Ovis aries: one gene and its partner. The protein of the gene in region 2 purifies or fractionates together with the protein of the main gene of each other region. This does not show direct contact. Links are inferred from orthologs where the notes say so. Each region holds a gene or a part of one and is shown on either strand. Other genes may lie near its edges. The genes, in order: ARMCX3 and RANBP6.

Region 1 (12,683 bases), on a different chromosome or scaffold from region 2:
TCCCCAGCAAAGGCCGCCACACCCCTTTCCCTGCGCTGAAATGGGAGGGGGTATGGAGGAAAGGGCCTGGAGAGGGCGGCTCAGACCCGGGCCTCAGCGATCCCAGCCTCCCGCCCTCATCCCCACCGCCACCCCCACCCAGGGGCCAAGGCTCATCCCACCTTCACAGCGACCTGCACGGTCCCAAGGCACTTTGGTCCTTCCCTCGCCGCGACTTTCCCCGGCGATCTACGGGCCAACAGATCTACAAACCTGCAGACAGACGGTGGGGGGTCGGGGGGAGACAGAGTGCTTGGTGGACGGAGCAGCACTCGGGACAGGAGTGTCCTGATCCTGAACCCTTTCTTTCCTCGGAGACTCTGTACCAGCCACTCACTTCCCTCACCCGCCGCCCGAAGTCCGCCAATTCCTTCCATGAAAATGGGCATGAGGAGGGGGACGGCAGTATTTAGAAAGTAGGCGAGAAGGGGACACAGACCCCTGTCTGCCGGAACCTGGATCCGTGGCGCTCTTGGCCTTCTCCCAGCCCCGTCTCCCTCCAAGCAGAGCCCACGCTCATACCGACCTGCAACGCCCGTGGCCACTTTCCTTCCTTCACGCGCCTGCAGAGTGATATAGGGGGCTGGTACCCAGACGGAGGCGACTAGCAGTACTTCTGGTCTAGGCAGCTCTGGTCACGTGACGACCGCGTCACCACTGAGCTCTGGCCCCCAATTTCCACTCCCACAAGCAGTGCGGCAGGCGCCAGCCTGCCCCGTACCTCCCCCCATCACAAGGGGCCTTGTTACTCTTTTCCTCTGTAACAATGCCAGAAGTGACCAGGGCTCTCTGTGTTTGCATTTGCTTTCTCTAATTACAGAAAAGGGCAACACTTTTCCTGGGTCTGTCATTTACTTACACTTCTTTTGAGGGGAATGTCTTACCCTTTCTTTGGCTCTGAAACTCCTGTCCCCTCTTTCTTCATTTCTACCCCTTCCCACATGCATTCTCTACACCAAAATTAAGCAGAGGGGCAGGAAATAAAAGCCCAAGTAACAGCGAGATTTTTGTTCCTATTTTTAATATATTCATATTCTATTTCTTCCATTCTTTCTTAATTGACTCAAGTTACTATTTTGTAGTCAGAAAATACAAATCCGTGTGTGTGTGTATAAAACAAAATTTCCTAGTTAATACGAAGACCTCATTGATTTAAGCTAATTTGTACATTGAAAACATTTTCTTCTGACTGCAGAGGAGATAGCAGCTTTCAAATAGCATATGAAACTATAAAAACATACCCTTACAAACAAAGCCAGTGTGCTTTTAATATGATTTATAAATTAATGGATAAAATGAATCTATAGTAAATTGGTCAGTGTTTTAATTGTGACCAGTTTAAAGAAGTGAACCACTATCCCTTTCTTCTTGGCTGAACTCATAGCGTTATGTGTTAGAGAACTGCTAGATGGCTTCCTTTCTGGTTTTGAAGGACAGACTCTCCGCAGACCCCAAATTCCAATGAATCTTATGTCTTCAGATGAAGCTTACAAATTAGTAACTTCAAAGATTAGCTTGCTCTTCATTCAAAGCTCTATTTAAAATCTATTCTCAAGTTTCATGGTGTAACCCATAAATCATCCAGAAATCAGAGGATTCCCTGCTATCCCATTGATGAAAATGATAGTGGAATTTTCGTTTGATCACGACACTGGTGAAAGACCTCCGGTATTTGTCATTTGTGCCCTGTCTGTCCCCTTGGTAGTGCCTGGTGTTCAGCCTTTTCCAGTGGAAATAATGGTGAGGGTCTGTGGGTGACTGTAAATCACTGCCACAACCTGACAGCCCTTGAGATCCGCTGCCTTTTCCCCTCACAAACGGCATAGGTCACGGGACCCCAAGCAGTGTTGCCAGGAAAAAGAGGCCTTTTCACCCTCTCCCTTCTGTTACAATTTCATTGTACCATCTATACAAGTCCCTCAGAATAATCCCAGAAGGTAGGGACAAAGTCTGCAGAACTTAGTTCCCAGACATCCAGCTGTCCCCGCCGGGGTGTCATGCTCTAAATATAAACCCTTCAGGCAGCCTCTTTCTTAGAACATTGAAATCTGACACCCCAGCAGGAAGCTCCCTGGGTGAGGGGCCCCTGTGTGGAGGAGGCCCTTTCAGGAGGTGAACCAGGAAGCCCAGAGTGCCTTGCTGGTGAAAAATTCACAAGTCAAGAACATGTCACAACTTTCTGGTCTTCCTTAAACATTTATAGTTCAAACATACCGACATTACAACTCATCTCTCTCTAAACCCCTAACTCATTTGTTTTGCCATCCTCTCCTTACCCTGTTCTTCTTATCATCCTTTATTTTACTTCTCCAAAGGAAGTGATTTATATTTACGAAGCCTTACTAACAGAACTTGCAGATTTCACTATCATTCTTTTGGCTGCTAAGAACTTAAAAAGTAGCTTTTATTTATCTTGAGTATATACATTAGAAAGAACTGCAGAGCATGTAAAACTTAAGAAATACAGGTGTCATTGACTTGCCTCTACAATAAGGACTCATTCCACAACTCTTACTTAGCCATGCTTCAGGGACAAAAGATCCGCTCCTACCTCTCCTCGTTAGTTACAAATCTCTCTCCCTTTTGGTATATTTTTCAATTTTTCCAGTGTATAACCCCTGACTACCACTCTCCCAGGCTGTCAGATCTTTCCTGTTTGGATCCACTCCCTCTCTTAAACTTCCTAAACCCCATGGGAATGATAACCCTGTCAATTCTCGTGGTCATTTTGATCCACAATTCCTACCAAGGAAGCTGGGGACTGACATATAAAATCTATTTTCCTTCCGTTATACACCCACCAACAAATATTTATTTAAGGGCATGCTATTTGCCTGACATACCATTTGAAAAGCAAAACGGGAAAATCCTTAAGCAATCCCTCAGACAAGTCTTCAAAAGACTATGTGAGTCCACTGTCAAAAAGAACCTCTTGGCTTAAATCAGCATATGGTCATATATGATGCATGATTTATAACATATTCAAAAACAGAAAAGGATCAGCAGACGGTAACACTGATAGAATTTTGGAGGGTAAGAAAAATAAATGATAGAAGATTGTTATCTTTAAAAGGTGTATTACTTTTTGTATCGTGTTGTTTCTGTGTTGTGTATTAGTTTTGTTTGATTGCAAGCAACAGAAAGCACATCTGTTTAACTTAAACAGTGAGGGCATTTCGAAGACCAGCATCAGCTCTGAGGTGTCAAGGTAGGAGGAACCGATAGATGGTCTCTTCAGGACGCCATAAACTTCCACTGATGTTTGGTTTTTCTATCTTTGCTCAGGTTTAAACTTCAGTAAGAGAGTAAGTATTCAGTTGGTTTGTTTTGGGCACAATGACCACCCTTTTGCTGTGGAAAATGACAGGGCATGTAAAATGTGAAATGCACTTCCTTTCTTTTCCCAGAGAGAACTGTAAACTGTTTCAGAGGTTATTGTTGATTTGCAGGAGCACTTTAACTACTTGGGATATGCATCTTTTGTCCAGTTGTGACTGAGGCGCTGGGGGTCTATCTGCCACAGCATGCTTTAGTTGTCACTGAGCATTAGAGAGGTGCACTTCTGAAATGGTGGTGCACTTCTGAAATGGTGGTGCACAAGGCTGCCTTCTAGGCCAAAGCCCCCTGACTTCCTTGACAGGATTCCACACGGTCGCATCGATAGTACAAAGTCTTGTGCTCAGCCCTTCAGGATCAACACCTGAATTTGTCTGTATAGTGAGAGCAGATGCCTGTATCAAATAAAGACTCTCATTCAGAGAGACATATATAAATCTATATCTGAATGCCCAAACCCACGGATCACTGCATTTCCTCTGTAAGACGGCCACAGGGAAGCTAAGTTTCACAACGAAATGACAACTGAAAAATTTATCCTGAGAAGTACAACCATCAGGGGTACTAGAGGTTTCTGTTAGTTTTACCAGCCCCTTCTCTCCCCGTTGGCAAGCTACTACTTGGGAAGCCACAACTTCAGAAGGTTGCGTGGTAAGCCTGCAATCAGAGAGCAAGGGCATCGGTGCACTTTAAGAAGTGGCTTTCATCTAAGAAACTTGAAGTACACTTACATATCATGGGGATGGCTCTGCCAAAGAAAGCTAATTTTTCCACGCATCTCAGCCAAGACTTCCTCTCCTCCAGACAGTGCTTGGGTGGGAACTATCAACACTTGCCTCTGACTCTTCTCTTCATAGACTCCTGTTTGAATAAGCCCCCTCGCTGCACATGATCTTTCTCTAAACACAGAATCATACAGTTGATTTGCTTTCTGCTTACTAACTTTCAGTCATATCCTGTTCATCTTCACCTTACACAGTCTTGTATATCAATTGTATCTCAATAAAAATGGAAGAAAAAATACATTTTAGTCATATCCTAGTACTATTTTTCAGAAGTTACATTGATATGAATTTCTCTGGAATTTTGCCTGTTCCCAAATTTCCCAGTCTCTTGATTTACTCCCATATTGTCTGTGGATCTTAAACTTTTTAGACTCAGATAACAACCTTATATCTTAACTATCAGGGCATATCACACTGTAGACCCTGTGTCATGACATTATTTCCTTATTTTTCCCACTCTTAAAAGTTCGCTCGTTGGTGACAGGTGACTTGTTGAATTCATCAATACAGTCAGTGAAAAGGTTTCACACTAATTGCTAGATGCTGAGTTCAGCCAGTTTTGACTTGGTCTAACACCTCTAACAACCTACTCCGTTTAAAAATGCTGTTGTCCATTTGTATTTTTTGTAATGTTCTTTGTATGTCGCTCACTTTGTCAGTGTGCATGCCTCCTATCTGACAGGCATCCGACATACTTGTGATTACCACTCAACCTTTTCTGTGTAGCTGGCTTCTGAGGGCTCCTGTGCCTTGCTAACTGATGAAAGTGAAAGTCTTGTTTAGAAGACTGGCTTAGTTAGAAGATTTATGTATTCTCAGACACTCTGATGAGCTTATTCAGGATTGTGTTATGTGCTAGGCCCCAGAAGACACTAAGATTGCTTTGAGTGAAGTGTGTAACACTCCCTACAAGTGAGAACATGTGGGACTTTTGGAGGCCATCACCCAACATCACTCTCCCACTCTTTTTTTTTTTTTTTTACCAAATGAAAATAGCTTTACAGCCATTTTTTTCCTCCTAAAAAGAATGCAGTCTGGGGGTGGGAAAGGGCAGAACTGAAAGAACAACAACAAAAAATAAAACAGTAAGTAAGGGAAAAACTGCATTCACTCCAGGTCTCCTTTTCTGGTGGCTTTTTCTTTTCAGATCTGGGACTAGATTTCAGAGGAAATGGTAGACATTTATAGCTGGGAGGCAGGGAGGTGGAAGGAGAGGTTACTGTCCCAGGAGTCCAGGGAAGGAAGAGGCAATTTTTCAAAAAGTACAAGTGGCCAGTAACCCCAGGGGAAGATGCTGTCCCTTTCTGGTAATCAGAGGAAGGCAAAGACAACTACAGGGAGATGGGATTAGGAAAGAAAAAAAAGAGTAACAAGGCCTGCCGTGGGGGAGGGAAGGGAGGGGGGCGGGCCCTCTTCTGCCGCACTGCTGGTGGGAGGGGAAATTGGGGACCAGAGTTGGTGGATGACGTAGGTCTCACGTGACCAAGAGCTGACGTGTGCAGAAGTCCTTCTTGTTCTGGTCGTTGTTCCCGTCTGAGTATCAGCTCCCCATTGCCCCGAGGGCCAGCGGGCCTGCAGCAGAGGAAAGAAGGAGGAGGAGAAGGAGATTGTCCCGGATCCGTGCAGGTCAGTGCCTGGGAGAGTCCAGAAGGTGGGGGTGGCTGAGGGTGCAGGGCGGAAACCGTCGCGGATCCTGGGGCGCCTCCGTCGTCTCTTCCACTCGCCGCCGGCTTTCCAAGACGTCTGTCCCGCCCGCAGCCCATTCTGATGCTGCGAAATGGTGAGCAGGGGGGTGTTTGGGAGGAGCTCAGAGATCGGGACGTGGGAATCTGGTGGGAACCGAGGCCGTAATCTGGAAAGGGAGCTGTACGCTGGGTGTTGGCCCCCAGTCCTCCAGGACGGTGCCAGAGGGGAAAGGCTGGACATGGGGAGGGGAGGTGCACCGTGATGTGTCAGCAGAACCCCGAGAAGGGTCGAAGGGGTGGAAACCTTTGACAGCCAGGCCTCCGAATTAAGGACAGAGTTTTCTGTTCTGGGGACCGGTCCGTCCACCAAGCACTAGGTCGCGGCAGTTTCCCGTCTTTCTTACTGTGACTGCGTCTTCCTGACCGTGGCTCTGTGTCTCGTGGATCCGAGCCTCTCCCGGGTTGCCAGTCTTTCCATAGGTTGCGGCACCACACCAGGCTAAAGAAGAGGAAGGAAATTAACCCCGATCCGTGAAGGTCGATTTGAGGGTAAGACCATCTAGAGACCCTAACGGGGGCGTTGGGAGGATGGGGTGGGGAGAAACCAGAGGTAGCGATAATCTAGGTTAGGTCTGAGTCTGAGTGTGTTTCTCACACTCTTGGGACTGTGGCGAAATGGCGTGCAGTGTGTGTGTGTGCGTGCGCGCGCGTGTGTCGTGGGGGGTGGGGTGGGGGAGAATGACAGAAGGGAAACCTATCAGATAGTTTGTTCGTAATCCTCTTCTCTCAACAGCACTTAGTCCCCATGTTTTCGATCTGTCATCCTGCAGGTCTGCTGTAGCAGGTGGCACCAGTTTAAACGAGGGAGGAAGTTTCCTCGGATCAGTAGAGGTCGGTTTGGGCATGGGGGCTGCCTGGAATGGGGGAGGGGTTGGAAATTGCCCACGGTTGGACAGGCTCACCCCATGTTATTTCCCCAACAACTCTCCATTTCAGGCTAGAGAAGCGGCAGGCATGTGCATGTTTTGGATGGCAGAGAGAGGTTGTCTTTTCTGTATTTTTTTTCTTAATCTGACAACCTAGATAGGTGAATCAGGAAAGCAACAAATGGAGGAGCAGTCAATCCATCAAGGCTTCAGTTCTCACTGGCTCTGGTCTCTCTGCAGATTGCAAGGGTTGTTGGGCGTGGCACATCTCCAGGGGAGGGAAGAAGGGGCAAACTGCCTGTCTGGAGGAGGTTAGTGCAATGGTGCCACTCCCTGGGAACATCCAAGGTTGGGGTAGCTGAGGCCCCAGCAGAGAGAATGCGCTCCACTGCCTTTATCTAGGCTTGGGGAGGAGGTGGGCTGGGGAGAGTGAAATGAGGGGGAAAGAGTTTGTTAATAATCTACATTTTCTACCAAGAACTCATTTGCTTGTCTCTCTGTACAACTCTCTGCAGAGGACAACTCAAGGAGAAGAGAAACTCAAACCCCGTTTTCTTTCTCCACCCCTAGGTCCACCTCCAGAATCAGTTGCCGTGGCCTTGAAGTGGCTGAAGACAATCATCCTCCACAGGCCTGCACCCAGGCCAGGCCCATAGCCCTCCTCCCCCAGCCTGAGTGACCACTCTGTTCCTTGGTCCCTGATACCATCAGGGACGATTGCATGGGCTACGCCAGGAAAGTAGGCTGGGTGACTGCGGGACTGGTGATTGGGGCTGGCGCCTGCTATTGCATTTATAGACTGACCAGAGGAAGAAAACAGAACAAGGAGAAAATGGCTGAGGGAGGGTCTGGGGATGTGGATGATGTTGGGGATTGTCCTGGGGCCAGGTACAATGACTGGTCTGATGATGATGATGACAACAGTGAGAACAAAGGTATAGTATGGTACCCACCTTGGGCCCGGATTGGGACTGAGGCTGGAACCAGAGCGAGGGCCAGGGCAAGGGCCAGGGCCACCCGGGCTCGTCGAGCTGTCCAGAAAAGGGCTTCCCCCAATTCTGATGATACTATTTTGTCCCCTCAAGAGCTGCAGAAAGTTCTTTGCTTGGTTGAGATGTCTGAAAAGCCTTATATTCTTGAAGCAGCTTTAATTGCTCTGGGTAACAATGCTGCTTATGCATTTAACAGAGATATTATTCGTGATCTGGGTGGTCTCCCAATTGTTGCAAAGATTCTCAATACTCGGGATCCCATAGTGAAGGAAAAGGCTTTAATTGTCCTAAATAACTTGAGTGTGAATGCTGAAAATCAGCGCAGGCTTAAGATATACATGAATCAAGTCTGTGATGACACAATCACTTCTCGATTGAACTCATCTGTGCAGCTGGCAGGTCTAAGATTGCTTACGAACATGACTGTTACTAATGAGTATCAGCACATGCTTGCTAATTCCATTTCAGACTTTTTCCGTTTATTTTCAGCAGGAAATGAAGAAACCAAATTTCAGGTCTTGAAACTCCTTTTGAATTTGGCTGAAAATCCAGCCATGACTAGAGAACTGCTCAGGGCCCAAGTACCATCCTCGCTGGGTTCCCTCTTTAACAAGAAGGAGAACAAAGAGGTGATTCTGAAGCTTCTGGTCATATTCGAGAACATAAACGACAATTTTAAATGGGAGGAAAATGAATCTACTCAGAATCAATTCAGCGAAGGTTCACTTTTTTCCTTTTTGAAAGAATTTCAGGTGTGTGCTGATAAGATTCTGGGGCTAGAAAGTCATCATGATATTTTGGTAAAAGTGAAAGTTGGAAAATTCGTGGCCAAACTGGCTGAGAATATGTTCCCAAAGAGCCAGGAATAAGTTCTTGATTTTGTAGTTTAGAAGCAACACATGTTGTAAACTATTCCTTTTCTCCACCTTGTCTATATGGTAAAGGAATCCTTTCAGCTGCCAGTTTTGAGTAATGAATATCATATTGTATCATCAATGCTGATATTTATCTGAGTTGGTCTGCAGGCCTAAGCTGGATGAATGAATATCACTACCTGTTCTGAAAATGTTTGTTGCTTTTTATCTCACTGCCTAGATTGAAATATTTTTACTATTTCTTCTGCATAAGTGACAGTGAACCAATTCCTCACAAATAAGCTCCCTCCTGTCATTTGCATTGACTGCATTTGTGTATCATCAATGAAGTTGTGTGTTAATGCTGGAAAGAAAAAAAAGAGAAACCATACTTATCTTTCGGTTTATAGTCTAGTTGGAGAGATAAGAAAACATACAAACAAAAAGAAAACAATATCTCAAGCATATACTCTTTGTTAAATACTCGCACTCAGAGCGCAGAGAAAGCAAAGGTTTCTGCAGGATACAGTAGTCAGCTACAGATTTATGGAGGAAGTGTTCATTTCAAATGAATCCTCAGTGGGGTAGGTAGTTAGGGAGTTCCATGTGATGGGAGTGAAGGGGGACTGGTGTGAGAAAGGCATGGAGGTAGGAACTCTTGCTGTGACAGTGAGGAGACTAGTCTGTTTAGAGTGGAAAGTGTGACTGGAAGTAAATAAATTTGGAAAGTTGGCTGAAGCCAGTTTGTGGAGAACTGTTGGAATATTACCTCACCGAACACTGAGAGCCAGTGAATAATTTTGACTAGAAAGAATAATTGGAATTCATATAGAAGTCCCTGTCTCACCTACTGTGCAGTGTCCATGAGAGTATGGCAGAAATGGAGCCTTTCACACCCTGGTGGTAGGAATTCGCTTACACTGGCACAAGGTTTGCAGAGGGCCATTTGGTAATACATATCATTAGCCTTAAAATATGTAATCCCTTTGTCCTAAGGAAATAGTTGAATCATTGGCCAAAGATTGTATGTACAAGGCTGTTTATCCCAGCACTGTGTGAAATAGTAAAAATTGAAAGCAAGTTAAACAATGTAGCACACTGGACTGGTTACATAAGTTAAGGAATATTCACATGGTGTAAGATAAATATGTCAATTGCAGTCCATATTGTCAGGGAATGATATTCATCATGCACTGTTAAGTGAGAAAGGTAGGTTAGATAGGAGTCTTCTTAGTATGATTCAGTTTTTCTGAGAATATAAGATATTTAAGTAGACACTAAAAACTCTGGAATTACAGACATCCAAATAGTAACAGTGATTGTCTTTGGGTGGAAGGATAGTATAATTTTTACCTTTTTACTTTTTATTCATCTATATGTTCTTATTAACCTAAAACAAATACTGATTTTTCAGAAGTTTTTGAAAAAGGAAAGTGTTGGGAATGGAGCAGGTGATTGATTGGAGCACGAACTGAGTAGAAAAAGTATTTACATTAAACATAAGATGGGTTGAAGTTTTCTCTCTGAAATAATAGATGAGTGCTAAAGATGGGGCTCGCTGAAAGAATTAAATGAAGTAATATATGTGAAATACTTAGAATTTTCTGGCACATAGCAATTAATTAAGAAAATTGAGCACACTTAGTTCCTTAGAATTCAGTGTCGATAGTTGTTCTGGTTGACCTTTGTGTTGCTGGGGGCATTCTGCCATGTGTCAGCATCATTTAATAAATAATAACAACAATAAAAGTTAGCATTTATTAAGTGACTACTGTGTAGAGTGATGTCATTCCTGCAAGGCAACTGTTAACAATAGTTTCTCAAAGAAATAGGCTTTTCTTTTTACTGTGTACTCGAGATGTTTTAGCAGACATGATCTCACCTGCCCTTACAATGTATTGTTGGTCAGTTTGGGGGTGTTATCCTACTTTATACATGAGGCCAGGAAAGGGTAAAATCTCTGTTCAGTTATGATCTGGTTTTAGCCCCAGGCTTCCATATACTTACTCAAATGTTGCCTACAATAGACAAAAGGACCAAGGACTGATCAGCTTGAAGTTGTTGGGTATGATGACTCTATTGAATCATGCTGGGGCTCCTTTGACATCAGTTTTAAGGGTGGAATGAGGGTAAAGGAATTAAAATTTTTTCTTGCTCTATTATTAGGTAGAAAACAGGATTTGGGAGGGAAAGCCTTATCCATTTAAAATAAACTAACTTTGAGATACCTGTGTGACATCTAGATGGATATACCCTAATGTCATTTGAGTCTATTGATGTGGTGCTCAGAAAAGACCAGGCTGCAGATATAGATTTGGGGGCCACCAGAGAAGAAATGATAACTAAGGACATGGGAGCGGATGTGATCCCCAGAGAGAAGGTGCAGAATGTAAGAGTAGAAAGCAGCATAAAGAACTGGAGAAGGGATTGTGGCAGCTGGGGAAAGAAGCATCAAATTCCAACTGTGGATACCCTTCCAGACACTATCTCAGTATACCTATATAGTCTACATCAAATTGGATGATACTGTAGATGAACTTTCAGAACCTGATTTAAATTTTGTCTACTTTTCTTCTAAAATGTACTCATTGGAGATACTTGAGAAAATAGAGGCAATAAGAACAAACTTGTTCCCTCACCCAGATCTGTATCGTGAACATCTAAAAGAATTCTGATCAAGCCACATTGAACTGGGGTGCTGAGTGACTTTTTGACCTGGGGTGGCAATGAAGTGAACTTGGGCAATAAAAAGCCACCCTGCAGCAGGGGTGCAGGCCTGACCAGTGTCCATCTGCTGCGCAGGTCTCTTTTCTCATCCTCTCCTCCCTTCCCATTCTCCTTCCCTTTCCCTCTTTCACACTTCTCTCTGATTTCCTCCTCTGAGAGACCATTGACAATAGTCTCTTTGTGCTTCTGTGTCTTTTGGGGGTGATCGTTTCATTTCCATGACACCAGGTCATGCACCAATAGGCATTTGATGCAGAATGATAATTGTCGTTGCTGTGGTAACAAGATGACCCTGGGTACGTATGGCTGGATGCCAAGACTTTTCGGACGGTTGTTTACAGAGACTGAGAAAGCACCGGTCTTAGTGTGGAACAGCCCTATGTGCATTGCATGAATCTTGATGTCCCATGCCTGGTATTATTTGGAACTGAATCACCCGGACTTTGGGAAGTGCTGTGTGAGACAGATGTATGACTGCCTGGTCCAGGGAAGACACAGGGCCGGCCCAGCCACACTCTGATGTCCTGATGCTTTCACATCCGAGGTTGCCACTCAAACATTTTGGGAAGGGCACCCTACTAGTATAGTAGCCGTGATTGTGGCAGGTCATGGGGGCAAGGGGGAGCCAATGACCTTTCTTTAGAAAGCATGGCAGTTTCTTGGAAACTGAGGAAATTAGAAACTCAAGGATATTCTGCTATTTTGTTTTTATCTACTGATTTTAGGAATTTAAGTGGGTCTATTCCCGGCAAATGTGTTCAAAGGTGATTTTACAAAGATGGAGTATAGTTCTGTTATAAATTGTCACCCAAAGCATAATATTTAAGGCTCAGGAAACTGGTTTTCTATTTTTAAATTCATATTTTACTTGCCTTATTTCAAAAGAGATTCTAAGTGTAGATTTAGCAAATTGATATGGTTCAGGGAAATTTTGTGTTTATGCCTCTGTTTGGTTAATTTCTCTGCTCTATTCCCTTGAGAGTGGTTTTTTGAAGAATGATTATGACTATTTTCAATGCTAACATTTTACATTCCTTCTTCATCATATCCCAGACTGAAGATTTTTTCCCTTTATTTCTCTGTTCAAACTGTGGCTCTTCTTGCCTTTAAACCAGAACTATCACGCTGCCATCTCCGGGTACAGAAGACTAGGATATTGACCCCTGAGGTGAGGTATCAAGCAGGATAACACATCTTTGCTTTCAGATATATATATCTCCATGCCTTTCCCTCTCCACTGTGTCCTTCTCAGGCCTTGTTAAGGGCTTGGACATTGTTGGGTTTGGGGATAAGCCTGAGGGGAGGGAGGGAATGGGAAAGAAGCCTTATTGGAGGGGTA
Region 2 (12,907 bases):
ACTTTTAAGGTTTTAGGGTATTGACAACCCCCCACACACAAACACACACCCATCATCTAGTTTATCTAGATCTCCTCTTACCTCATCAGACATTTGTAATTTATTAGGCATTTACAGCATTCTCTCTCCTTAGCCCATGAGTGAAAGTCGCTTAGCTGTGTGGACTCTTTGGGACCCTATGGACTATACAGTCCATGGAATTCTCCAGGCCACAATATTGGAGTGGGTAGCCTTTCCCTTCTTCCCAACCAAGGAATCGAACTCAGGTCTACAGATGTACTTTAAATCAGGAACAAAGGCAGACCAGTCTTACTTCAGGGACTGGCAACCAAAAATGTGTCTGACTGGACATCTTTCCTTTGAGAAAGCTTAAGAATCTGGAGCCATCCTATCAGATATCACCTCCTTCTCTTTAGCCACCAACCATATTTCATGACTCCCAGATAATATTAGCTTACATTTATTGAACCCTGTGCCACTGATCACTTTATATTCATTACCTTCTTTAATTCTCACAATTAGCTAGGCCTTATGTTTATTTCACTGATGGAAAACTGTTTAGATTAAAAAAGCAGCTTGCCAAAATTCAAATCTAGGTTTGTCTTCAAAATTCTCCAGGTGCCTAATTCCAAGTCATATGGTAGGTTTTCCAATTTTTCATGCACAAGAATATATGGAATTGGTAGAAATGTTTACCAAAAGCTTCTTAAATAAAGAATATTAATAGACACCTGGATGAGTAGCAGGAAAGTTAGCTACATGTCACTGAGAGGCCAATTAACTTCGATCTTAACTATTACGAAAGTAGAATCAGGTCCTTGAACTTTTAAAAAATATAGATCAATGAGAAGAAAAACTGCCTTTCAATCCCACCATCCATAGAAAACCTCTATTAATACTTTGTGGTGGGGTTTTTCTATTTATTCATCTATACTTTTAAATTTAATCTTATTAAAATAATGACTATACCCCAACCAATGTCCTTTTCTTTCTTTCCCCTCATTAACAATAAATAACTACAGGGAATGTATAGGAATTGCATATTTAAAATCTCAATTTCGTATCTCTGTCCACAGTGGCCTAGATGGCCTGGTCATGAACTGGTAGGAGGGGAAACAGGGAGATTTTAATATAAAAGGAATTCCAGACCATAAAAAAGAACACAGAAGAGGTACAAACACCAACAGCAGTAACAGCTACCATTTATTAAGCACTTACTAGGTCTTAAATACTCACTAAATACATACACAGTACTCATAACAGCCCAAGGAAATCCATTACAGATGTATTTGTTCTTAAATTTTGGATCAATAATTTGCTGAGTAGAAAGCTTTTTTTTCTACCCTACAAAAAGCCTGAGATTAAAGACCAACATTGTAATTAATATGTTACCCCAAATTTATAGAACTGCTTTCTTAGAATTCACACTGCTAAATGACTGGTCATCTCAAAGCTGTTTTCTTTTTCATGTTTAAAGATTAATTTTGCTTCCCTTTCATGATCACAATTGAATTCTCTTTAATGCTACTAAACAACTGAGTTTCTTCAAAATAGAAATCTATTTAAGCCCCATTTTGAATCAGGGCTTCTCTTGTTGAACTGCTTTGCAGGGAAAAATGGCTTACATACACAATGCAATATTCTGCTCAAACACGTAACAGTGATTGACTCCCACAAATAATCATTTACTCTTTGTCAAATACTGTATTACAGTATGTTATATGCTACCAATGTTAGATGTACCAGGATACCCTTTACAGTAACTGTGGTCCTTAAGAGTCCTGGTTAAGTTAAAATAGACAGACTGATCTGGCTAAGTAACTATCAGCTGGACACCTTGGGAAGCAGCATATGGATATGTCTCAGCCTCAGGAGGACATTATTAAAAAGTTCTTATGTATTATGGAGAAAACTCCCCACATCCACTGCAGTATCTCAAAACTTTTCCAATACCAGCATCCTCCCATTACTATGAAATCTAGGAGTATCATAAAGGAGGAATAAGCCTGCCACTATATTCTTCACTCAATTCCAAAGAGTTTGTCCTGGAAGTTCTTCTATCCCATCTTTGTGCACTCTTAACATCTTGTGTTAGGCAGCAGGACACCCTGACACCAAGCACACTGCTTGCCCAGCATCAGGAATTTAGACAAATAGCAACAATGTACATACTTCACATCAAATAGAGGAAAGGTGACAAACATTTTAAGACAACAGAAGCACAGGTTATCACCAAGGTCTGTATTTGATAAAACATGCAAGGTAAACAGAGGCTATAACACTGACTAATCATGGAGAAACACTGGGAAGGAATATAAACTGCTCAGCAGGAAGAGAACAGCTCTCTCAATCATAATAGAATCCACTCACAACACTTAGTTGGAGTTGCTTTTATGGGGGATGATATTCAAGTAATATTAAAGTGCTTCAAGCAAAATTTAGCAGTTCCTGTAAGGCTTCCTGCTGCTCATCATCAAGATGGGAAATGCATTCCAACCATAATTCTTCAGAAGTCTGTACCTGACGTACAACATTAGCTAGGCGTTTGGCACAAGGATCTTCATAGTTAATAGTCTCGTTAATTTTTCCTTCTGCAATTATACTAATTATTTTTGGAAGATTGGAATTATTTGGACCAAGTACAACTGGGTGGTTACTTTCAATTAAGTCACAGAGAAAACTCAAAGTCTGAATAGCTTCCTCTTTATCCTCATGCAGCGGAAGCCATGACAACCAGTGTGGAAGAACTTCATCTACATTTACACAGTTAGGCTTAAACCTCAAAATCTTCCCTACTGCTGAGATACAGTTCTCTGTAGCAATGACATTTTTTTTGGTTTTGGAATTTGCACACTTAATAACTTTTACCAGCAGCGGAACAGCTTCTGAACATAAAGAACGATAATCATCTCCACCATACTGTGCCATAACACCCAGGCCATAAGCAGCAGCTTGCCTGACTTCAGGGTTGTTGTCACGCATATTTAGTAGCATTGGCCACCGAAAATATTCAACATATTTAAATGAAGTTGGACTGCAGTGCTCTATGATATCATCAAATATGCACAATCCCCACTGTCTGTCTGGCCATGGCCTATTAGAACAAATTAGATTTACAATTAATGGAAGTAGCTGTTCAAACCACGGTAAAATCTTTTCCTTGTAAGTACTAAATAAGGAGTGCAAAATATCTGATACTTTGGTCAGAATATAAACATCACATTCATCCTCATCTTGCAGAGACATTTCAACCTGTTGATCATAGTTTTCTTCCTGTCTTTTGACCTGTCTTAGTTCTTGGTTTTTAAAGTGCCCTTCAAGTTTTGCTTTCAGTATTTCTCCCAGTTCTTCCAAGTGTTCATCATTAAGGCACCCATCTCCCATTACTTCAATGGATTTTGCAAAAGAATTCATTATTTCTGAGAGTACATCTGTATCAGGTTCAGTCCCAATAGCCTTGATTAAGGGATCACATATGAACTGCCACATCTGTGCAAGATACTCTGGCCCCCGAATTCTTGCACATTCCAGGAGAAAAGGCAAGGACTCTGCAGCTGCCACTCGAACATTGTCATGGAAATAAAATTTCAGTAAAGGAACCATCAGTTTTACAACTTGTTCTGTATAGTCCATAAATCCTTCTCTTAACTCCTTAGCATAATAAACCAACATCTGGCAAGCAGTTGCTTTTGCTTCAAGTCCTGAAGTTTTAATTCCAAAACTTTGCTGGTCTCCAAGATTTACAAATTGCCATCCATCATCATCACTCATATTCTCCACATCTTGTGTGTCTAAGAGAGCAACGTCAGGTTTAGCTGAAGCAGTCTTAATAAGAGGCTCAATAACCAGTGGAAGGTACTGTTGAAAATCACTTCCAAGAATTTTACACATTCTAGCCCATGCTGAAACCATGTAAGAGGTCTGAGGGTCATCATCTTCCATATTATTTAACTCTGATTGTGTCTTCAACAATAACTGCATCACATTTGATGCATCTTGCATAAATTTTTCCTTACCAACAGCAAGACCAACATGGCTAATGCATTCAATAGTCTTTCCTTTCAGAAGTTTGAGTTCCTTTTGAACAGCAAGCTCAACAGTATGCTTTAGTGAGGGCATAAATATATCATAGTATGGTACAAATTTTTCTTCTATTGTATCTGCAACTGAGGCAATGGTTGTCACAAGCTGTTCTAAGGCCAACTTAGTTCCATTGCGAATCAACTCTTGAAGTTTAATCACCAAGATGGAATGTAGATTTCTTACCATACTATCCAAATATAGAACCAGCAATGATTTGGGACAGTCTTCAATAAAAATAATAAGCGCAGAAGCTGCATGTGACTGTACACGCTGATTACCTTGATTTTCCATAGTACGCAACAGAGCTGCAATCACAGTTTCATGGAATTTCTTTTGGAAGTTAGGTGCAAAATCTGTAGCCATCTGTCCAAGTGTAGTACAGGCTGCAGCCCTCACCCTTGGATGAGGATCCTGAAGAAAAAGCAAAACAGAGTTAACTGTTTCATCTAAAATTGATTCCATTTGCTGATGGCATCCTTCTCCAATAGCAGATAAGGCCATTAATCCAGCATGTCGGTATTTCCAGTCAGGGCTCTGCAGCATCTGCATGATATGCTCCTTAGTCATTGGTAAAACAAGTTTTCCACCGAGCCCACAAGCCAGTCTGTCTAATGCACTCTCAGCAGCAACTGCATTGCTGTCAAAATCATCTTCTTCCATTTCATCAGCATTTACCCAGTCCTCGTCATCTTGTAGATCAACCATCATTGCTAATATATGAGGAACTGCCTGTGCAATAATATTTGTATGTTTTTTCAACATTGGGGTGGCAGTTTCAGACAAGGTCACTATTACTTCAAGTGCCAGCTGGCGTTGCAGATTACTAAGTCTAGAGTCTCCACATAACTTTAGACTCAGTTGCAGAGTATCTTCTAAATAAGGACCCAAATATTTAGGTACAGTATCTGCAATCTCGACAAGGGATTCTAGCACTGAATCATCATCCTGGTAGCATGAATCATTCACAGCCTGTAAGATTCCAGGAAGCAAGTCTGCAAAGTCTTTGAAAAGACCAATATTATTCTCATTAGCAAGTACAAATGCAGCTGCAGCTCTAGCAGATAATGTCCTGATTGCTGGATGTTCTTGATCTTGAATACACTGGTCCAACAACCTTTTGATGATATCCAAATCGTGCCGCTCCTGGTTCCCAAAAATCCCTGGAAAGTGCCAGAAAACGTGAAGTGCAACTTCCCATAGAACCACATTTTTAGAGTAGATTGAATCAACAAGGAACTTCAGACCTTCAGGCCAGTGGTTAGTGCCATCCTCATCTATCAAATTCCTGGCCAGGACTGCAAAAATGTCACAAAGTTTTTTCCTCATACTAGCATGTGTTTCTAACTTAACAGCCAGTATCAGTTCAATCTTGACGTCCCTCTGAACATCAGAAGGCAAATTTGGATAGACTTCCTCAAACCCAGAGGACAAAAGCCGTCGTAGCAGGGCGGCAGCCATTTGTCTCACCTCATAACCTGCTCTTCTATTTCTGACGGCATCTAAGAGGAATGTAGTCTTACACAGACCTGGGATATTTTCATAGATTTCCTCTGCCTGCCGCCGCACCATACAGCTTGGATTGATCAGGTTCTTCAGAAGCTGGTAAAACTCTTGCTTTCCCGACACGGTCGCCGGTACTCCGGCAGACCCGGACGCCGCCATCGCGTTCTGTCAAAGCAACCGCGACGGGGAAGGAGGGCGGGGGTCTGCGTCCCGGAGCAGTGACATCAGCGAGGCGCCGGCGCGGAGGGGCGGGGCGGGGCCACTTCCTCCCCTGCCGTGGCTCGTCTTGGTCCGGGCTTTGGGAGGCCGGGAGGCCGGTGGCGCGGGACTCATGGGGTCGTGGTGGGAGCGAGGGTCGCTCTCCATCTGATTTCCAATAAAATGAAAATGCACCTATAGAGAGGAAAAAATAAAAGTATGATAATGACTATTAGAATGGGATTATGGGTTTTTTCGTCTTCTATTTCTAAACTATATCTACGGTTGTTACACTGATAATTTTAAAACAGAGCGTACGCCTTGAAAATCTAAGTGAAAGAAGACAATCACGAAAGGCTACATGTTTTATGATTCCTTTTATATGAAAGGTCTAAAGTGGAAAATCCATACAGAAAGTAGATTAGTGTTTGGCAATGGCTGAGGGGAAGAGAGAATAGAGAATAACTGCTGTCAGGAAAGTTCTTTCTGGGTGATGAAAATGTGAAATTGATAGTGGAGATAGCTGCACGACTCTGTGATTATACTCAAACCATTGAATTGTACAATTTAGTTTGGTGAATTGTATTGCATGTGGATAATACCTCAATAAAGCTTTTTATCAAATAAGTACAATAAAAGATAAAGACAATGATTAGCACCCACTATTATATCTAATGCAGTAGAGCAGAGGTGCTCAGATTCAGGTGTGTGTTGGAATCACTTGCTCTGTGGATTATAATAAAGAATGAGAAAGGTATTTGAGTAATGTATGATGAAAAGTAACGTGGGTTAGTAAGATTAGAATTCTGGTCTTGTCTCAAAATTGATTTGAATCCCTGGTCTTGTCACTGAAGTTTTTTTTTTTTTTTTGCAAACTTAAAATGTTTTTACAGTTTTCCTTTTCCTAGAGAGCAGCTGAGGTTATTCTAAGAAATAAATGCCCCTGAGGCTAAATATTGTTTCTTTAATTCAGAAAGGGTTGCTTCCCTGCAATTACCAGGCTCATTAATTACACGGGCTCAGCGGTAAATAATCCACCTGCCAATGCAGGGGGCACAATTTTGATCTCTGGTCCTAGAAGATGCCACATGCTGTGGAGCAACTAAGCCCTTGTGCTACAACTATTGAGCTGTACTCTGCTGCTGCTGCTAGGTCGCTTCAATCATGTCCGACTCTGTGTGACCCCATAGACGGCAGCCCACCAGGCTCCGCCGTCCCTGGGATTCTCCAGGCAAGAACACTGGAGTGGGTTTCCATTTCCTTCTCCAATGCATGAAAGTGAAAACTGAAAGTGAAGTTGCTCAGTCGTGTCTGACTCTTAGCGACCTCATGGACTGCAGCCTACCAGGCTCCTCCATCCATGGGATTTTCCAAGCAAGAGTACTGGAGTGGAGTGCCATTGTCTTCTAGAGCCTGGTAAATAGGAACTGCAACTACTGAGCCCACAAATCCAACTACTGAAGCCTGTGTGTCTAGAGCCTAGTGCTCTGCAACAAGATAAGCCAGTTCAATGAGAAGCCTGCCCACTGCAACAAAGAGTAGACCCTGCTTGCTGCAATGAGAGAAAAGCCTGCACAGCAAGGAAGACCCAGCACAGCCAAAAATAATTAGTAAAATACATAAATAAAATTATATATTAAAAAAATCATCATTACTTTAACAATGATTAGATCTTACTTTTGTATGGGCCTTGCCAATCTATCATTTTAACCATTACACAGGTTTGCAAGATTGGTAGAATAGATATAATACTAATTTTAGGTGAGAAATGGAAACTCAGGAAGGTTAAGGGATTTGCCTAAGATGACGCACCCTGAGTCTCCAATCTACCTCTTCTGAAAGCAACACTGATGCTCTTCACCATACCACTTCCCCATAATTACTCTTGATTTTGCAATACAATCAGACGTTTTCGCTTATTGCATGGTATATTTTAAACTTCTCTGAGTTGGCTGAACTTTAATTTTGTTCCTGGTAGTTCATCAATAAAGAATCTGCCTGCCAATGCAGGAGATGCAGGTTTGATCCCTGGGTCAGGAAGATTCCTTTGAAAAGGAAATGGCAACTCACTCCAGTATTCTTGCCTGGGAAATCCAATGGACAAAGGAGCCTGGTGGGCTACAGGCAGCAGAGTCACAAAGAGTCAGACACGACTTAGTGACTAAACAACAACAAAAACAACAACAACAAATGCTCGTTTAGGAAAAAACCTTATTCTCTAAACAGTGCTTTTTATTCTGTGGACTGAAAGTCAACTGCATCAGAATCACTTGAGAAACTTATTTTAAAATGTAGATATTAGGGCTCAATCTCTGAACTACTGAATCAGAATTTCTGGGTGATACAACCTAAGAATGTTCAATTTTAACAAGGACACTGGGTTTTCATGTGAATACAAAAATTTGAGAACCACTGCTGAAATCAGTGTTGGTTCTGATTCCAAGATCTTGACTACAGTTCTGCATCTTGCTCCAGAGTCAATGGCTTTCCCACCATTCTTTGGAAAAGTCTAATTATAGGGCCTTTGCATTCACTCTTTCAGAAAATCTTAATAACTATTACATGTTGGGGGGAAAAAGCTTGTCTTAAAACCATATCTGTTAGCATATTAAAGACACAAAAACTAGAATGAGATACCACCACAGGCCCAATACAATGTTTTAAATTTAAGTCTAAGAATATCAAGTGACAGTGAAAATATGGAATAATAGGAAACTCAATGATACTTTTGGTGGTAGTTTAAGTGAGTTGGTAGAACCACTCTGTAAAAAATGTTTGGAAAATGCTGGGTTAACATTACGCAGTTATTCATTTATTTTCTCAGCACACGTTCATTGAGGGTATACTCAAGTATGGTGCTGTGTGCTGGGGATAAACATTAAATACATGAGGATGCCATGAGAGACAGCAAATACCATTTAGTGTAGTGATCACTGTGGTGATGCAACCACGTGAGTTTGTGGAGGCAGCTAAGGGAAATCAGGCAAGGCTTCCCAAAGGTGGTGATACCAGGGCTGGCTTTTAAAGGATAAATCTTTATTCACTATTTGAATAAAGAGAAGAAGTTTCTAAGTAAAGGGAACAGCTGTGTTCAAATGTGGAAAGGTCTTAGAGCCTAGTGTGATGAGTTCTGCCAGTATTTCTTGCTGGAGCATTGGGTATGTGACTTGAGGGGGCTTGGGATGACATAAGAGGCAGGAAGGAGGAAGACAGAAGTTCTATAGAAGCCAGATCATGAAGGGTCTCATATTCCATGTTAAGAAATTTGGCTTTTTTCCCCCAAAGGTAAAGAGGAGCAGTTTAAGGATTTTAATCAAGTGCTGTGAAATGATCCACATTTAGAAATATTACTTTGATAGCAATGCAAAAACTGAAGTGTGAAGATTGGAGGCATTTAGGGTTTTCCAGGCAGCAGAATGGTAAAGAATCCACCTGCCAATGCAGGAGACGTAGGGAACATGAGTTTGATCCCTGGGTCGGTAAGATCCCCTGGAGTAGAAAACGGCAACCTGCTCCAGTATTCATGCCTGGAAATTTTCATGGACAGAGGTTCCTGGCAGTCTACAGTCTACAGGGTCACAAAGAGTTGGACAGGACCGAGCACACACACACCTTAGTTCAGTTAAACTGAAAGTCTAAATCATTGCAGTGGTGGAAGGAAAGAAAAGAGGGCAAGGACTAGATAGGTTGAAAGAAGTCATATCAATAACACCTTACATGGGAAGAAGCAGCCTAGGAAATCTTCCTAAGTTTTGACCTGGGCATCTGGTTGGAGATGCTGTAATTTACCTGTTTCTTTACCCACACATGAGGAAAGAACAGTATTAATGCAGACCAAAAGACTGCTAACTCTTTCTGGAAGAATTCCCTAACAAATGAAAGTGTTAATCCCTCAGTTATGTCCAACTCTTTGTGACCCCATGGACTGTAGCCCAACAGCTCCTCTGTCCATGGAATTTCCCAAGCAAGAATACAGGAGTGGGTTGTCATTCCCTTCTCCAGGGGACCTTCCCAACCCAGGTGTCAGACCCAGGTCTTTAGATTTCATGCAAATTCTTTACTGTCTGAGCCACTAGGGAAGTCCTGGCTATGTACCAGGTGGTACTCAGTGACATTTTATGAACAAAGATGGAGTTACTCCCAGTCTTATCAAAACTCTCCAGTATCTAGTGAAAGCAAAAGTGAGAGTCATGTCCGTCTCTTTGCGACCCCATGAACTATAGTCTATGGAATTTTCCAGGCCAAAATACTGGATAGGGTAGCCTTTCCATTCTCCAGGGGATCTTCCCAACCCAGGGATCAAGCCCAGGTCTCCCACATTGCAGGCAGATTATTTACCAGTTAAGCAACAAGGGAAGCCCAAGAATACTGGAGTAGGTCTTCCTTAAGAAGATGAGTCCCCAAATCCATATTTTGTTCTCTAGTTGCTCCCACACTCCATAGTGATGGTCATTGTTACAAAGGTAAGAGCTAAATGGAATCCATTTTAGGAAAAATATTTATGTTCTTAGTTTAGAAGAACATACACAGATTTAAAATCTTAAAGTACTTCCTCTCTAGATTGCATAATTCAATTCTATTTACCTTTTGCAGTGTTATTTCCTACCCCCTCACCCCCTAAGGAGCACACAAATATTCAAGATTTCAAGAATGGACTTGAATATTTGGTTAAAGAACTTTATTAAACTTTGTAATTAAAATTGGATTTTAAATTTGTTTGCACTGTTGAGAGGGCATTTAAAAATATTTCCGTAAGGTGTAAGGTGGCTCAGAAGTGGACGATTCAAGTATTTATTAGCACCTTGCTAAGCAAAGAAAGGTGAAAAGTAAGTTGCAAATTTCTTCCAAGATCTGAGAGATTTAGAATCAAGTGGGAGGAAGTAGAATTAAATTGGACATTCTTGACAGTTTTGCAAGAATAATCCATAATAAATAAAAATATAGAAAACAAAAAATACTATGAAGGCTCCTACCAACCTAAATTAAAACAATCAGAATATCAGAAAGAATAATGCTTCTGATGAATTAAAAAGACTTTAAATATAATCAGCAAAAGTTCCAAGTGTCTAATACTAACAAAAGTCACAACTCATTGGTCATCTTTGGATGCTAGGTCAGCAACTGAAAATTAATAATAATCACAATTTTTCCTGCCTTTTCTGTATAAACTGTATTTCAGGAAAACCTAACAGTTATTCACATTCTTCTCTATAGAATTCCATATAAAAAGTGCACAAAAATGCTAAAATCAGAAAATTACTGTGTTGTAACCCAAATGAAATAATGAATGTAGGCAGCAATAACCAGTGGATGCTAAAACCATTAATGAAACATTGATTGGGATTTGATAATAGAAGGATTAGGCTGAAACCATCTGAAGTTCCTGATCTTAGTATTATTAAAAGTGGGATAAACCAGAAGTTTCATTTATGTGTTATCTTTTGGTTTCGCATTCAAATTTTCTCTAATTTGTTCTCTGATGCTGAGGCTGGGCTCTGGAAGCAAAATTTCTCCTTTCTTAGCGTGGTCCCTCAGAGTTTCCACCAGAAAAGAGACAGAAAAGAGATTGCTCCTTCTTGTTTTTCCTTTTCTTGTCTGGATTGCCCCAGCAGTGGCCCCTCCTCCTGGTAACAGTAATTTCCTCTTAATCCAATCGCTTCCTGTTTCTGCAGAGATACCCACAGTAACCTGGGGGCACTCATTCCTCTGAGGTTTCACCTGGAGCTCTGAGCTCAAAGATGCCAGTTCTATTTTGTTCCTTCAGCTTTAGGGATGGTAGCAGGTCCTTCAGTTACCATTTTTTATTACATCAGTGCTGTTTATTCACTCCTTCAGGTCTCTCACACCTATGTAACCAACCTCTTAAATCTCCTCTTCAAGTAATTAGTGTGGTTTCCATTTTTCCACCTGGACCTTGGCTCATTCATATATCAGGCATTAAGTGATGCAATAGGGAGCACAACTATAACATATTTTTATTTAAAATCAGGTTTATTAAGGTATAATTTACATGCAATTGTTGTTGTTCAGTCGCTAAGTCATGTCTGACTCTGCGACCCCATGGGCTGCAGCACGCCAGACTTCCCTGTCCTTCACCAACTCCTAGCGTTTGCTCAGACTTATGTCCATTGGGTCAATGATGCCATCTCTGTCACCCCTTTTTCCTCATGTTCTCAACCTTTCCCAGTGTCAGGGTCTTTTCCAGTGAGTTGGTTCTTTGCATCAGGTGGCAAAAATATTGGAATTTCGGCATCAGTCTTTCCAATGAATATTCATTGTATTAATTTCCTTTAGGATTGACTAGTTTAATCTTGCTGTCCAAGGGACTCTCAAGAGTCTTCTCCAGCACAACAGTTTGAAAGCATCAATTCTTTGGCGCTCAGCCTTCTTTTTGGTCCAACTCTCACATCAGTACACGACTACTGGAAAAACCATAGTTTTGACTGTATGAACCTTTGCTGGTAAAGAAATATCTCTGCTTTTAATATGCTGTCTAAGTTTGTCACAGCTTTTCTTCCAAGGAGCAAGTGTCTTTTAATTTCATGGCTGCAGTCACCATCTGCAGTGATTTTGGAGCCCAAGAAAATCAAGTCTGTCACTGTTTCCATTGTTTCCCCATCTATTTGCCGTGAAGTGATAGGACTGCATGCCATGATCTTAGTTTCTTGAATGTTGACTTTTCCAGTTTTTTCACTCTCCTCTTTCACTTTCATCAAGAGGCTCTTTAGTTCCTTTTCACTCTCTGCCATAAAGGTGGTGTCATCTGTATATCTGAGGTTATTGATATTTCTCCTAGCAATCTTGATTCCAGGTTGTGATTCATCCAGTCCAGCATTTCACATGATGTACACTGCATATAAGTTAAATAAGCAGGGTGACAATATACAGCCTTGACATAGTCCTTTCCTGATTTGGAACCAGACATACTCCTTTCCTGATTTGGAACCAGTCTGTTGTTCTATGTCTGGTACTAACTGTTGCTTCTTGACCTGCATACGGGTTTCTCAGGAGGCAGGTAAGATGGTCTGGTATTCCCATCTCTTCAAGAATTTTCCACAGTTTGTTGTGATCCACACAGTCAAAAGTTCTCAGTTCAAGTACTATCGAAGCCTTGCTTGGAGAA

The links.
Region 1: the proteins of RANBP6 (region 2) and ARMCX3 purify together in Homo sapiens (co-immunoprecipitation; 3 studies listed by BioGRID and IntAct, counting the BioPlex papers as one, with this or other methods). This does not show direct contact. The link is inferred for Ovis aries from reciprocal best matches to the Homo sapiens genes RANBP6 and ARMCX3.

The regions. Positions count from the first base shown.
Region 1 is NC_056080.1:133,254,435-133,267,117, forward strand, and holds the start of ARMCX3 (armadillo repeat-containing X-linked protein 3), read left to right. Parts: upstream 1-5,658; 5' UTR 5,659-5,940; intron 5,941-6,216; 5' UTR 6,217-6,394; intron 6,395-6,675; 5' UTR 6,676-6,736; intron 6,737-7,011; 5' UTR 7,012-7,082; intron 7,083-7,341; 5' UTR 7,342-7,492; coding exon 7,493-8,632; 3' UTR 8,633-12,683. UniProt on the Homo sapiens protein: Regulates mitochondrial aggregation and transport in axons in living neurons. May link mitochondria to the TRAK2-kinesin motor complex via its interaction with Miro and TRAK2.
Region 2 is NC_056055.1:74,173,386-74,186,292, forward strand, and holds RANBP6 (ran-binding protein 6), read right to left. Parts: upstream 5,762-12,907; 5' UTR 5,746-5,761; coding exon 2,428-5,745; 3' UTR 1,187-2,427; downstream 1-1,186. UniProt on the Homo sapiens protein: May function in nuclear protein import as nuclear transport receptor.